2 linked regions of the Tribolium castaneum genome follow. The protein of the gene in region 2 purifies or fractionates together with the protein of the main gene of each other region. This does not show direct contact. Links are inferred from orthologs where the notes say so. Each region holds a gene or a part of one and is shown on either strand. Other genes may lie near its edges.

Region 1 (6,143 bases), on a different chromosome or scaffold from region 2:
TAGGACAACCGGTAATATTTCCTGCGGTTGATTGGAAGAGTCTACAAAAAGTTATTTAATTAACAATCAAATAGAGCATTTTTTTACCGTTGTTAGCGAAAGTTAGGGCGCAAATAGCGCAAAGCACCACCACAGTGAGCTTCATTCTTAATACGAGAGTATAGAAAGAGTCTGACACTTATAAAGCGAATTTTTGTAATTCCATGTGTGCAAGGTATTTAAGTTATTTTTGCGTGGCTTTGTTAGATTACAGACAAAACGTTTCTCGTGAATTTTTGCAAAGATTGAGACATTTTTCGCATTTTATGTTATGGAATTTGCGCGCCGTTTCAGTACAAGCAATCCAAAAGCAAAAATCCCTAGATTAAAACTTGCATTCAATTTATTGTTATTTTAAACCGCAAAAAGGAGTTTGGTCAGGATTTTAGCAACATAGTATACACCGAACATTTTTTATTTGAAGTAATGTTGTTCAAATAGTACAATTTTTTCGTGTTTGAGTTGTTTATGTTGTTGGCGTCATAAAACCAAAAATCCCCAGATTTAAAATACTGGTTTTAACTTTTATTATGACTGACTTGTCATTACAAAAATATTAATTGATATTAGTTTTAATCAAAAAAATGGAGCTTGTAGAATTTGAGGCGATAATAAAAGCCATTAGTCAATCTTGCAGTGAACAACTCGATCGCTTTACCGAATCTTTGCACCCACTCGATGAGTTAACACCTCATGTGGAAGAAGGTACGTGCAATCTTTTTAAATCTATTTTTGTACTCTGTTATGTCTTTTTAGAAGGGTATTTGTTTAATATATGTGCAAACGTTAAATCTTTGATTGATTGTAAAGTAGAAAGGGCCTTTGAAATCGTGGATAACAATGCTCAACTTTTGGAAAAAGAAAAGTCTGAAATCGTAAGTATAAAAAATAATTTTACTTGTACGATAACTTTGTAAAAAAAATAGAATAAACTGGAAGAGGAACTTTCAAATTTAACTACCGAATTTGGTGCAAAGAAAAATAAACTCCGGGAAACAACAAAACGGTGCGAAACTTATAATCATAAGCTGCAAAATCTTAAGAGCCTAAAGTATGAAATTTAAATGACTCTTACGTTGGTCTCTAATGAATTTATTTCAGGCTCTCCTTATATTTGTATAAGTTATTAACTGCAACACAATTTGATTATACAAGACCTAACACAGGCTGTATCCTTTCTAAAAAAAAAACCAAGCCGTTCATTTTAACAACTTTATTCCTTATAAACTAACAGATATGGTACGGACGAACCCTCCAAACTATGAAGTCTTCAATTATGGTGAAATAGGCGAGGAACAAGTAGTACGAAAATTATGGGCATTAATGGAAAAAATGGCACATAAAAACGAATAAAAACTTAAATTTATTGCTTTTTCTTTATGGTAACCGTTTTAAATATTGTATATGAATGGAAAACACTCGCGCTTGTTGCAATTGTAAAACCAACAACGAATAAGGCTACAATTACCATAGCTAGTAGCATTCCTTGGATAAATATGTTGTAAGTTATGTAAAAAATTCCCTGTGACGCCAAAATTCCCGTGTAAGTGAGCAATAGCGCAACGGGCATTAGGGTGGCTGCTGTGACCACGGGGAGCAGGATAACGGCCAAAATCACCACCAAAGACATGGACAAAATCGGTCTTTGCACTGACCATTTTAGGAACATACTTCTAACATTCTTCACCAAATTTCGCACTTTATCTGATAAAATTACGATTAGTAACGCAATTATTGGCGTGTGGCCTCACCTGGTAAAATGGGCATTGTTGTTATTTTACGCCGAACTGTAGAGATTAAAATAATTACTTGAACATGTTGGAATTTGACATCGCTTTTTATCAGTTCCAGTATTTACAAGGCGTGGAATTTGTACCGTCTTCTGATATTCTTCCACTTTTTTAGAGTTTATTGTTCTTCATTTAAGACAAAAACGAGCGAGTTTTTTCTTTTTGGCAAAAAATTTGAGGTTATGTGGCAAAAATTTGAATTTTCGTAAACCATAATCAACTTTAATTAATTATTTACTTATCAGTTTTGAACTTAAGTACTGAGCGGAATTTTCCATTCCCTTTCGATTGATTGTATTCTAGTGCAGCATAATGTATTAATAATGTAAAAAAACTAATTTTGAGGTTAGATTGGACTTGTCAAAAGGAAAAATAAAAGCAATTTTTGATTCTCGTCTATTAACAATATAAAAGGCCCACTTACAGTCAACAATTAAACGTAGCACATGAAGCAATTATTGCTTTTTGAAGCTTTTCAGGATTGGATAAATATTATCAAAGGCTTCGTAAATCTCCTGCCTGATTTTGGCGCCAGTCAAGACAACTTTACCCGAGACAAAAATAAGTAGTACAATTCTGGGCTTAACCATTCTGTAAATTAAACCGGGGAATAACTCGGGTTCATACGAACTGAAGGAACTGTGCGTGAGGACAAGTCCTTCCAATCTGATCGGAAATTTAACGTCGCAACTTCCCACCATATTTTGAATCTTGAAGTCTAAAAATTTCGCGGGGAAGCCCAGCTTTTGGATAATTCTCGCATATTTCCTCGCTGCTAGTCTGGAGTCGTCCTCGCTTTTAGCCCCCGTGCAGACCATTTTTCCCGAAGAGAAAATAAGAGCAGTAGTTCGGGGCTCCCTGATTCTCATTATAACTGCAGCGAAACGTTTGGGGTTGTACTCAGCGTTACGTGCGTGAAGGGCGATTTTTTTCAAGTCTAACTTGCAGCTGAGGTTAACTGTGGAGACAATATTTCTGCAAAAAATATTCAAACTAATTTTACTAAAGTTTGGACTGTTACTGTAATTGGGGGACAATGTTGGGGTCGGCCGAATGCGGGGTCATCGGTGTCAGGGGCGACGGCGTCGCGGGGCCCATCGACGGGGTGTTCGCTGCACCACTTGAGCCCCCCAAATTCACCATAGGGGACATCATAGTGTGTTGCTAAAATTTTAATTAAACGTTCCAATTATTCAATAATTTAGTTACGTACTGGTGTTTGTGACTGGATACTCGTGATGGGGAGGGCGAAGCCCGCATATTTCGTATGGGGCATGGACATGCCCATGCCCAACCCCAGAGTTGGTGTTAGGGCTCCCATTGGGGCCAAAGGCGGGACTTGTTGGGACTGTGATGTTGTGGAAGGTTGCTGCTGCTGTTGTTGCTGCAGAGCATTGGGCAAAATCATCTGATCTTCCTCGGGCTGGTGCAAGGGGGTTCCTAAAGCCTCACTAAGGAAGTGTGAAGGAAAAATCGAGACTTACCTATGCTAGGAATGCTGAAACCGGGGCTTGGCAACATTTGATCCATTTTGGTACTTGTTGTCTTTACACTTTTTTAATTAACGAACTAATTAACTGAACAATAAAATCATAGTCAACATTTAGCATAAACGGTTATAATTTTTAAAAACTTGAACTCAGACCATACAAACACAAAATAACATTCCTTGATTGTTCTCTTTCAGAGTTTTCGTCACGAAAATACTGTTTTTCACTGGAAAAACGGATTTGGAAGCAAATTAATAAATTATTCTCCTAGCATAATTTTTGGGGACAAATCAACCAGAATGTTGGCAACGCCCGCCTTAACCTCACTCAAATTCGCATCATAAATTTAAAAATAACACTCACGGCTCACGCTCACAATGTCGCCTTTTAAAAATTTCGAGTCAGTGGAACAGTTTTTTCACACAAACAATTATTTTGGATTTAATTTATTCACCTCTCCCTGATTGTTTATTTAGTGTTGTAATGTTGGCAACGCATATTTAACCTGACTTTTTCTACATGTGTTTATTTTAAAATAAAAGATGGTAAAAAGTTCGCTTTGGTGTTTGCACAGCGTATAGAAATGTTTTTTAGGGTAAGGCGAAGAAGACGCGAAAAATCGCCCAGAAGCGGTTTGCAAAAATGAAAACAATGATCAGTCCCAGCGACCCTCGCATAAAAGCCAGCCAGAGGGCCCCTCCTCGCAAGAAAAAACCCGAAGATCCACACGAAATGAAAGTGCGTGAGGTGCCCCAAGTTAGTTCGGCGCTCTTTTTCCAATACAACACCCAACTGGGGCCTCCATATCACATTTTGGTTGATACGAACTTTATTAATTTTTCGATCAAGAACAAGTTGGATATTATTCAGAATATGATGGACTGCTTGTATGCTAAGTGTATTCCGTATATTACGGATTGTGTTTTGGGCGAATTAGAGAAATTAGGTCAGAAGTATAAAGTGGCGTTGAGGATAATAAAGGATCCGAGGTTTGAGAGGATTAAGTGCATGCATAAAGGGACGTACGCTGATGATTGCCTAGTCCAGAGGGTCACCCAACACAAGTGTTACATTGTTGCGACGAATGATAAGGATTTGAAACGCAGAATTCGGAAAATTCCGGGTGTTCCCATCATGTATGTTGCACAACATAGGTATACAATTGAACGCATGCCTGATGCTTACGGGGCTCCAAAAACATAATAAACTACGAATTTTTATTACTACGTTATGAATTATCCCAATTTTTTACAAGTTTCCCTTCATCTAACAACGACCAATTTGGAGATTGTCTTTCAACATTCAACCAGTTGAAATCATCAACACATTTCCAATTATTTGTGTTTCGATCCAACCCTGAATTTTTAAAATCAGACTCGAGATTATCATAGTCCCAGTTATACGGTGCTAGAAATATATCGTGACAATCTTCCATAATTGCTCTACTTGTTACATGCAAATAAATATCGACATCACTCGAAGAATGCAATCTTAACTGTTGACACGCTATCACAAGAGTGCAATTTGTGCAGTTTTCTGCAAAAATTGAGGTTGAAACGGGGCCTGTGAAAACGCGGCAATTTTTCAACTGGTTGAGGTGGAGAGTGGACGGCGAACCGAACAATTTAACGGTACAGTTTTCCAACTTTTCTACTGTTATGTCTTTCTTGAAAATCTCATTTTTCATAGTTAGAGTTTCTCCAGTTTTGTTCGCAAAACCGCATTCTTTTGCCACAATCGCGACTTTATGGAAATCCACTTCATCCTTTTCTTTTTTTGTTTCCACAGGTTTCACGTTTTGTTTGTTTTTAAACCCGAACTTTTTCTTGGGCAAAAGATTCTCCTCCAGTTGTTTTAATTTATTGGTAAGTTCTTGTAAAGATTCGTGACATTTTTTGATGTCGTAAGAACGTAAAAATATGTTAGAATTAGCGACGTATTTTTGCAAGAGTAGGATTTCTTTCGAAATTGTGTCAAAGTGCTGGGGAAGCGCTGCTTTGTCCAAATCACTTGATTGGGTGAGGAAATTTTCGATTTGTTGACGCTTGTTACTGAACGTTTCGTTGAAATATGCCAGTTTTTCGGTATCGGCAGATTGGCTCTCTTTAGTTTCTTTTTGTTTTTGTAAACCTAATTTTCGGTCATAGTCTCTCTGTGCTATTAAACTGATTTTATCCACACTACCCTCCATCACTTGCATGTTTTTTGACTCTATTTTCGAATTTCTTTATCAATGCTTTCTTTATTTAGGCGGTACAAAGGCTGGGATGAGTTGGAAGCTGACTGTAATACGTTGACAAATTGTTGTTTTCTGTTGAGTGAATCAGGGGACTTGTCGATTCCTGGCAATTTCTGGAAAGAATAAATAATAGAAAATAAACCCAAGTACAGCCGATTTTTTCTTATAACCAACTGCCAAAGAGCCGTCAGATTGACATCATTGTGACAGTTGATTATAAAAAATAACGTACTTTTTTCAGATTTTCTTCATTTGGAGTCACTGTTACGAGCAAGCCGTACCCTAAACCTGTACCAGCGACGAGCCACAAAATCGACTTAATTAACCTCTCGGCCATCAATGTTTTTCACTCTCCCAATAGGCGTAGTCAATTTGCCGAATTTTGTTGTTAGAATCGATTGTTTCACCGATCTTGTAATAATATTCCAAGATCTCGGGATAATTATCGTGGAGATATTTGCGATATTCTGTTAAAAAACGATTACATAAAACCAAAAACTAGTGGTGTTTACCTCGCTTGGTGTTAACACTGTACCAGAGTCCGTAACTAATAGCAAAAGCAATGCCTTCACCAATAAACATAAA
Region 2 (6,694 bases):
GCGAGAATTTACCATCAAGGCGCTGTTCGCTGCGAATTTAAATGTAAATTTCGAAGTCAAATATCTCCGAACTGAATACGAGTTTTTCACTTTTCTTTTTTTAATGCCTAACTTGTTATGTAAGTGAGAGTAAATTACAAAATTAGAAAATACACGCAGCCTTGAATTTGATAACACAAGTTGATGGGTTTTATCACTTTTCTGATCGTCAGCTTAGAAGTTATTAAGCAACGTGTAATTTTTTCCCAATTTCTATTTATTGAAACATCAATTTTATTTTTCGATTAAAGCCACGTGCGGTTAATGATCGATAAAAATGCTTTCAGTCCCCAATCATAAACTGAGTCTTTAGTAGAATAATGGTGGATTTTATTGCCCCTGACTTACACATTTTCAGGAACCTCCCTCGTGCCATATGGATCGCCCTTCCCATGGTGACCGGCGTGTACGTCCTTGCGAACGTCGCCTATTTCGCCGTGTTATCAGGAATGGAAATTGAAAGTTCGCCGGCTGTTGCGGTCTCCTTCGGCCTCAAAATGTTCGGTTCTTTCCACTGGCTAGTTCCAATCTTCGTCGCTTTGTCCACTTTTGGCGGAGTTAACGGAATTCTGTTCACCTCTTCGCGGCTGTTCCTCACAGGATCTCAAGAAGGACATCTCCCCGACTTATTCTCCTTCATTCACGTTAAACGCATGACCCCCATACCCTCACTGATATTCACAGTAATGATCCCCCAAAGTTTAGCAATTTTTAATGCCCTATTTTTAGTGTGTAACCTCTTTAGCAATGCTTCTAGTCAGTGATGTCTTCGTTCTGATAAATTACTACGGACAAATATTATGGTTTTCTGTGGCGGCAAGCATTGCGGGAATGTTATGGCTGAGATACAAGCAACCCGATATGCCAAGGCCGATTAGAGTGAACATGAGTATCCCAATAATATTTTTGTTCTGTTGCGCGTTTCTTGTGATATTCCCCATACCCTCGCAGCCGTGGAACACAGTCATTGGAGTGGCCATCACGCTGTCAGGTACTTAATTACGGAATTTTGACAAAAATAACACATTTTTAGGCATCCCTGTGTATTATTTATGCGTCAAGTGGCAAAATAAACCGGAAAAATTCAACCAAACTTCGCGAAAATTGACGGAAATACTCCAGAGTATTATGAACGTGACTTCACCACAAGCGGAACAAACACTGTCCCATTCTTAATTTATTTCAATTGTAGGTTTATTTATAAAAATTATAATTTTTTACAGTGTCGTATTTGCAAAAATACCTGTATGGCAGTATAACATGACTGTTTCTTTCAATAACCAATGGTGTGAATATTTTCACGGTTTATTACAAAAAAAGAAACATGAAAAATGAACAATATCTTAATATAAAACACTGCAGGCGATAGAAAACTATTACGGAAAAAATTAACTGGAATCCTACCAAAATAAAGGATTTTCATGACGAAACAACTTAAGACTCATCGGGAGTATGCCAAGCGAGACGTTCCTCATAAAACTGAATAACAATTTGTGGACACTTGACGTTTGCTTCCTTAGCTGGGACTAAATCGGTCTCGTCGGTTCCCTTCCACTTCATCAGAAACATCAGCTGTCCTGTGGTGTCTGATGCTCCTATGATTTTCTCGGCTTGGTAGCCCCGTTCAAAGCCGACTTTTGATTTACTCTTGGATGAACTATCCTTCCCCTTTTCAGATTTCGACTCAGACTTTCGCTTTTTCTTGGATTTTTCGTCGTCATCGCCTTCTGATTTCTTCTTTTTCTTGGACTTATCCTCGTCGTCAGATGAGTCAGACTTGTTTTTACCATTTTCGTCGTCGGAATCTGCGTCTTTTTTTGAATTCTCTTTCTCGTCCGTGGAATCTGAACGACGGCGAGCTTTCTTCGACTTGGGCTCGCCGTCGGAGTCCTCCGTTTCAACCGCATGCTTCTTGGGCCTGCCTTTTGATTTCTTTTCAGACTTCTCTTCACCGTCCTTGGATTTTTTCTCTTTCTAGGGATACACAATTAAATAGATTTCGGGTCGAAGTGGGCTGGTTTTTGCTTGGCTTATCCAATAAACCCACCTTTTTTTTGTCACTATCCTCGTCCGCACTTTTCGTGGTGGAAGACCTCTTCGCCTTGGCTTTGCGCGACTTTTCAAATTCCGCTATGAGATCGGGACAATCGAGATTGTCTTCGGGTTCCCAAGTATTATCGTCTTCGCTATAACCTTTCCACTTGAGAAAATATTCGACCTTTCCGTTTACGACCCGCCGGTCGATAATTTTCTCAACTGAATATTCCTCCTCGCTCTCGCTGTCTTCTACCTTCTTTTTGCCCATTTCTGCAGTTTTGTTTGCGAATAACCGGTAAAGCGATGCTGACTGCGTACTTCTGGAACAATAAGTATTGCTTGCATTCAACTTCGTTACTAAAATGCTGACTAGTTAAGGTAGTGGATAATAATGCGATTGGAGCCGTTATTTACTTACTTTCAACTCTGGCTCTTAAAAAGCCACCACAAAACACCGCCGAAAAGATCCTTTTAATGGCGCTGGAAATATGGCGGGTGGCGGTTAAGAAAAAAATGGTGCCAACACAATTCAACCAATTAAAAATTGTCCAAAAACGACTCTCAGAGTTTTAAAAAATATAGCCAGGAGTTACAACTCTCATACTGCGCTCTCTGAATGAAGAGAAAATCGGATTGTTGCGAAATAAGCCTAGATTTTTTATAAATCGACGTTGAATGGCAGGCTTTAGGGAAATTTTGCGTTATTGATTGTTGTCATTTGCATTAAAGTGTGGTTAGGGAAACGTCAGTTTGTGTTGTATTTATTATTTTACGAGTTTATAAATGAGCGCCGAAGAAATGGAAAAATCTCAACTTGCAGCCGTTCTGCAAATTTTGAAAAAATACAATTTAAAGGTGAGCTTATGGCGAGTAAGCACAACGTAACATTTTTCATTAGGGCACTGAGGAGCTGCTACGAAAGGAGGCCAATCTCGGTAATAACATAGCTGATGGCCCTTTGCAACAAAATTCAGACGTTAGTAGCGTTCTGACGGGGTACAAGAGTGACGGAGATCCAGAAACCTATGAGGACTCTTACATGGAGTTAAAGCGTTTTGTTGAGGGCTCCCTTGACATTTACAAACACGAATTAGGCATGATTTTATACCCAGTTTTGGTCCACATGTACCTCGAATTGGTTTATAATGGACATACGGAGAAAGCGATAAACTTAATGAAAAAATTTGGCCCCGAACAAGACTCGTACTATCAGGAGGATCTCAGGAAGTTGGCTTTGGTCACAAAACGGGACCATATGAACGGGAACGAATTGACAGACACCTTCAAATCAAACCAGTTTATTATTCGAATGTCGCGTGACACTTTGTCACTTTTAAAACGTCACTTAAACGACAAAAAAGCGTCAGTTTTGCTGAACATCATCCAGGAACATCTCTACTTTGATATGTACGAAGGCGTAGCGAGGAACAAAAGCCAGATTGATGCCACGTCAGGTGCCGTTGGGGGAGAGGCAAAACGACAAGGTTCATTTTCGTTATCATAATTACAATAAACACATCAAAATTCCAGATAATAAAACCAAAGTCTATTACGGCATCCCCAAAGCCCCCGACATTCAGGCACTAGCAGCGCCAGTCGAAGACGAGGACGAAGGCGGCGAACAGGACAATCCGGACAAACCTAAGAAGAAAAAAGCCAAAAAAGACCCACTTTTCTCGAAAAAAACAAAAAATGACCCAAACGCTCCACCGCCTGATAGAATTCCAGTCCCGGACATGAGAGACCACGATAAGTACGAAAAAGTGAAGGCGTACAGAGAGGCCTCAAAGAGAGTTACGTTAGGCCCGGATTACCTCCCTTCAGTTTGTTGTTACACCTTACTTAACGCCAATCACACGTTAGTTGAGTTTATTCAGTGAAAATATTTTCTTTATCGGGGGTTTTTTAGGGTTAATTGTGCTGAAATCACCGAAGATTCGAGTATGCTGGCGGTGGGTTTCAGCGATTCAATTGTTAAAGTCTGGACACTTGTGCCTCAAAAACTGAAGGCTATGAAAAGTGGGGAGCAGCTGGAGGATGTCAATGTTGACGTAGAGGATGTCGTGGTAATGTTACATTTTTTTTTAATAATGAAATCGATAAAGTACATGAAAAAATATATAATCAATCAAAATTAAACGATAAGTAAAACTAAATCAGTAATTTCGATTACAATTTTTTGTTCAGAAAAGACTTTTATTATTACTACAAAAGTAATCACTCATTTTTTTAATACAACATTAAATATATTCAAAGTTAAGTTGAGATTTTAGTTTTCGCCCCCATCAAGTCGATAAAGTAGACACCGACTTAAATTAATCGACTACTTGAATAAATAGCGATAAAAATAGGTCGTTGCCGTGTGGAAACCGTCAACATGTTTAAAATCGCAAAATAAATGACTGGAAGGTGTATCATTTTTATTCATTTAAACAGTGTACTTAAAGAAATCTGCCAAGATAGCAACTTATCTGTCATCTTGGCCAGGTTCCAAAAACTTACATGTTTTCAACATGCAGGTGAGAATGATGGATGAAAGGTCCGGTGAGACTTCCAGATCGCTTTACGGCCATTCAGGGCCTGTTTACTCGGTATCATTTTCCCCAGACAAGACTCTCCTTATCAGTTGTTCGGAAGACACAACAATAAGATTATGGTCGTTGCAAATATGGACTTGTCTGGTGGTCTACAAAGGACACATGTTCCCCGTTTGGGACGTCAAATTCTCTCCCTTGGGCTATTACTTCGCTTCGGCGTCGTACGACCGCACTGCGCGACTTTGGGCCACCGACCATTACCAACCGTTGCGATTATTTGCCGGTCATTTCTCCGACGTCGATGTAAAAATTATCAATTTTTTTTTAATATTTTTTTACAGAAATTATTAATTGTAGTGCGTCCAGTTTCACCCAAATTCCAATTACGTTGCGACCGGTTCCAGCGACCGCCGCGTCTGTTTGTGGGATTGTACGACGGGAAATCATGTCCGACTTATGACTGGGCATAAATCGCCCATAATGTCTTTGGCGTTCAGTGTTTGTGGGCGGTTTTTGGCTTCCGCGGGGGTGGATTGTAAAGTGTTGGTTTGGGACTTGTCCCATGGACACTTGGTTGCAGAACTCACCGGGCATGAGAAGCCCATCCATGCACTTGCTTTCAGCAGATGCGGGAATATTCTAGTTTCAGGAGGGTTGGACTGTTTGCTCAAAGTTTGGGATTTTACCAAACTGACTGAGGAAATCAGCTCGGAGGAAGTAAATGTGTCGCATAATCCCGATGTGAGGATCGGGGATGATTATTTATTGAGGAGTTTTGCGACGAAGAGCTCGCCATTGATCAGCCTTCACTTTACGAGGAGGAATTTGCTATTGGCTGTTAGCATGTTTGATGGTGTTAGCACTTAGTTTATTGTAATGTGTATTATTTACCTTGATAAGAAATAAATTTTTTAACGATTTTTTTGGGGTTTGGTTTATGAATCGCTTGAAATAACACTAAAATGTTAAAATAGAATTCCGAGTTGAAAATAAACAGTGTCAACAACATTAAAAATGTTTGCCAGGACTTTTGCCAAAAACATTCATAATTTCTCTATGACGAATCAAACATTTTTATAATTAATATTCACACCGATAAAGTCGGTTATTCAATACTTGAAAAGAAAAAAGTAATGGTCTTGTACGTCGAAGTAATTACTTTGGTTGAACAGACGTATTTTTGGCGTCCAATCAAGAATAATATAAACAAGGATTTATTTTCGAAACAAATTTGTTGTGATAGAAAATTAATATCGTTACAAATTTTTACGCTTTGACTGGTTGTTAAAAAACAAAATAAATGTTAAGGTGCTTGTTTTAACTTTTATTTGAATTAATGTACATGTTTGTAGCTTGTTTTGTTGCGTTTGAAATTAATTTATTTGTGAATAACGTTACCTAAAAATTAGGCAAAGGATATGAAATTATTCATTAAGCCAATGTACAGGGTGAGTCTGCTAAAAGTATTATTTACAAATATACTATTTCAAAAGTATTAATTACTTTTTTTCTATACATGTAATTTTTTCCGAATATTTCTCCCTTTTCGTTATAATTAAAATTAATAAGACACCGTATGTGGAACTACGGCAGGGCCCGAAATGCCCAAAAAATCCAGCTAACCTACCTCAAGCCTAACAAGCGAAATCAAAGTAAACACATATTTTGTAAAAATATCATCGAGCGAACAATGCCAGTGGTGTGGCAGTGAACTTGTTTACGTACCTATTTTTCGAATGAACTATTTGAAAAAGGTACCTCAAAAATTCGCATTACGTGTGCTAAAAATGACTCGAGCATAAGCAAACCCAAAAACAACACTTGAAAATATCTGGAAACTGTTTACGGTTGGGATGATGGAGTAAACCCCACCCCCTATAATACGTCATTAGCTGAAAGCTGTGCAGCGTTCAGCCAGGTCCTGGAAAGCAGAGCATCTTAAGCGACAACGTTAGAAGCATCTGAGTGATATTTGATTCCCGATCGCTGCTGCAACACTAAGTAAGATATTTTTACGCTCTTAATTATAACATCGCAATTAAAAGTTGCTTCCTAAACTAGTTATTAAACTGGAAAAAAAA

The links. Proteins that work in one complex are often made in the same cells at the same time.
Region 1: the proteins of Taf5 (region 2) and Tbp purify together in Drosophila melanogaster (affinity purification with western blotting; 4 studies listed by BioGRID). This does not show direct contact. The link is inferred for Tribolium castaneum from reciprocal best matches to the Drosophila melanogaster genes Taf5 and Tbp.

The regions. Positions count from the first base shown.
Region 1 is NC_087402.1:9,985,442-9,991,584, reverse strand, and holds Tbp (uncharacterized protein Tbp), read right to left. Parts: upstream 3,452-6,143; 5' UTR 3,360-3,451; coding exon 3,314-3,359; intron 3,270-3,313; coding exon 3,043-3,269; intron 2,994-3,042; coding exon 2,851-2,993; intron 2,805-2,850; coding exon 2,285-2,804; 3' UTR 1,791-2,284; intron 1,744-1,790; 3' UTR 1,238-1,743; downstream 1-1,237. Other genes in the region: uncharacterized protein LOC107397721, read right to left, coding at 1-41, 88-145; Bka (rRNA-processing protein FCF1 homolog), read left to right, coding at 3,862-3,864, 3,914-4,522; Tbcc (tubulin-specific chaperone C), read right to left, coding at 4,548-5,519; uncharacterized protein LOC657646, read right to left, coding at 5,895-6,025, 6,071-6,143. UniProt on the Drosophila melanogaster protein: General transcription factor that functions at the core of the DNA-binding multiprotein factor TFIID.
Region 2 is NC_087398.1:2,405,796-2,412,489, forward strand, and holds Taf5 (cannonball), read left to right. Parts: upstream 1-2,810; 5' UTR 2,811-2,874; coding exon 2,875-2,931; intron 2,932-2,974; coding exon 2,975-3,560; intron 3,561-3,606; coding exon 3,607-3,934; intron 3,935-3,985; coding exon 3,986-4,142; intron 4,143-4,595; coding exon 4,596-4,916; intron 4,917-4,970; coding exon 4,971-5,480; 3' UTR 5,481-5,533; downstream 5,534-6,694. Other genes in the region: JhI-21 (large neutral amino acids transporter small subunit 2), read left to right, coding at 398-722, 769-1,030, 1,073-1,215; heterochromatin protein 1, read right to left, coding at 1,474-2,013, 2,087-2,344. UniProt on the Drosophila melanogaster protein: TFIID is a multimeric protein complex that plays a central role in mediating promoter responses to various activators and repressors. May play a role in helping to anchor Taf4 within the TFIID complex.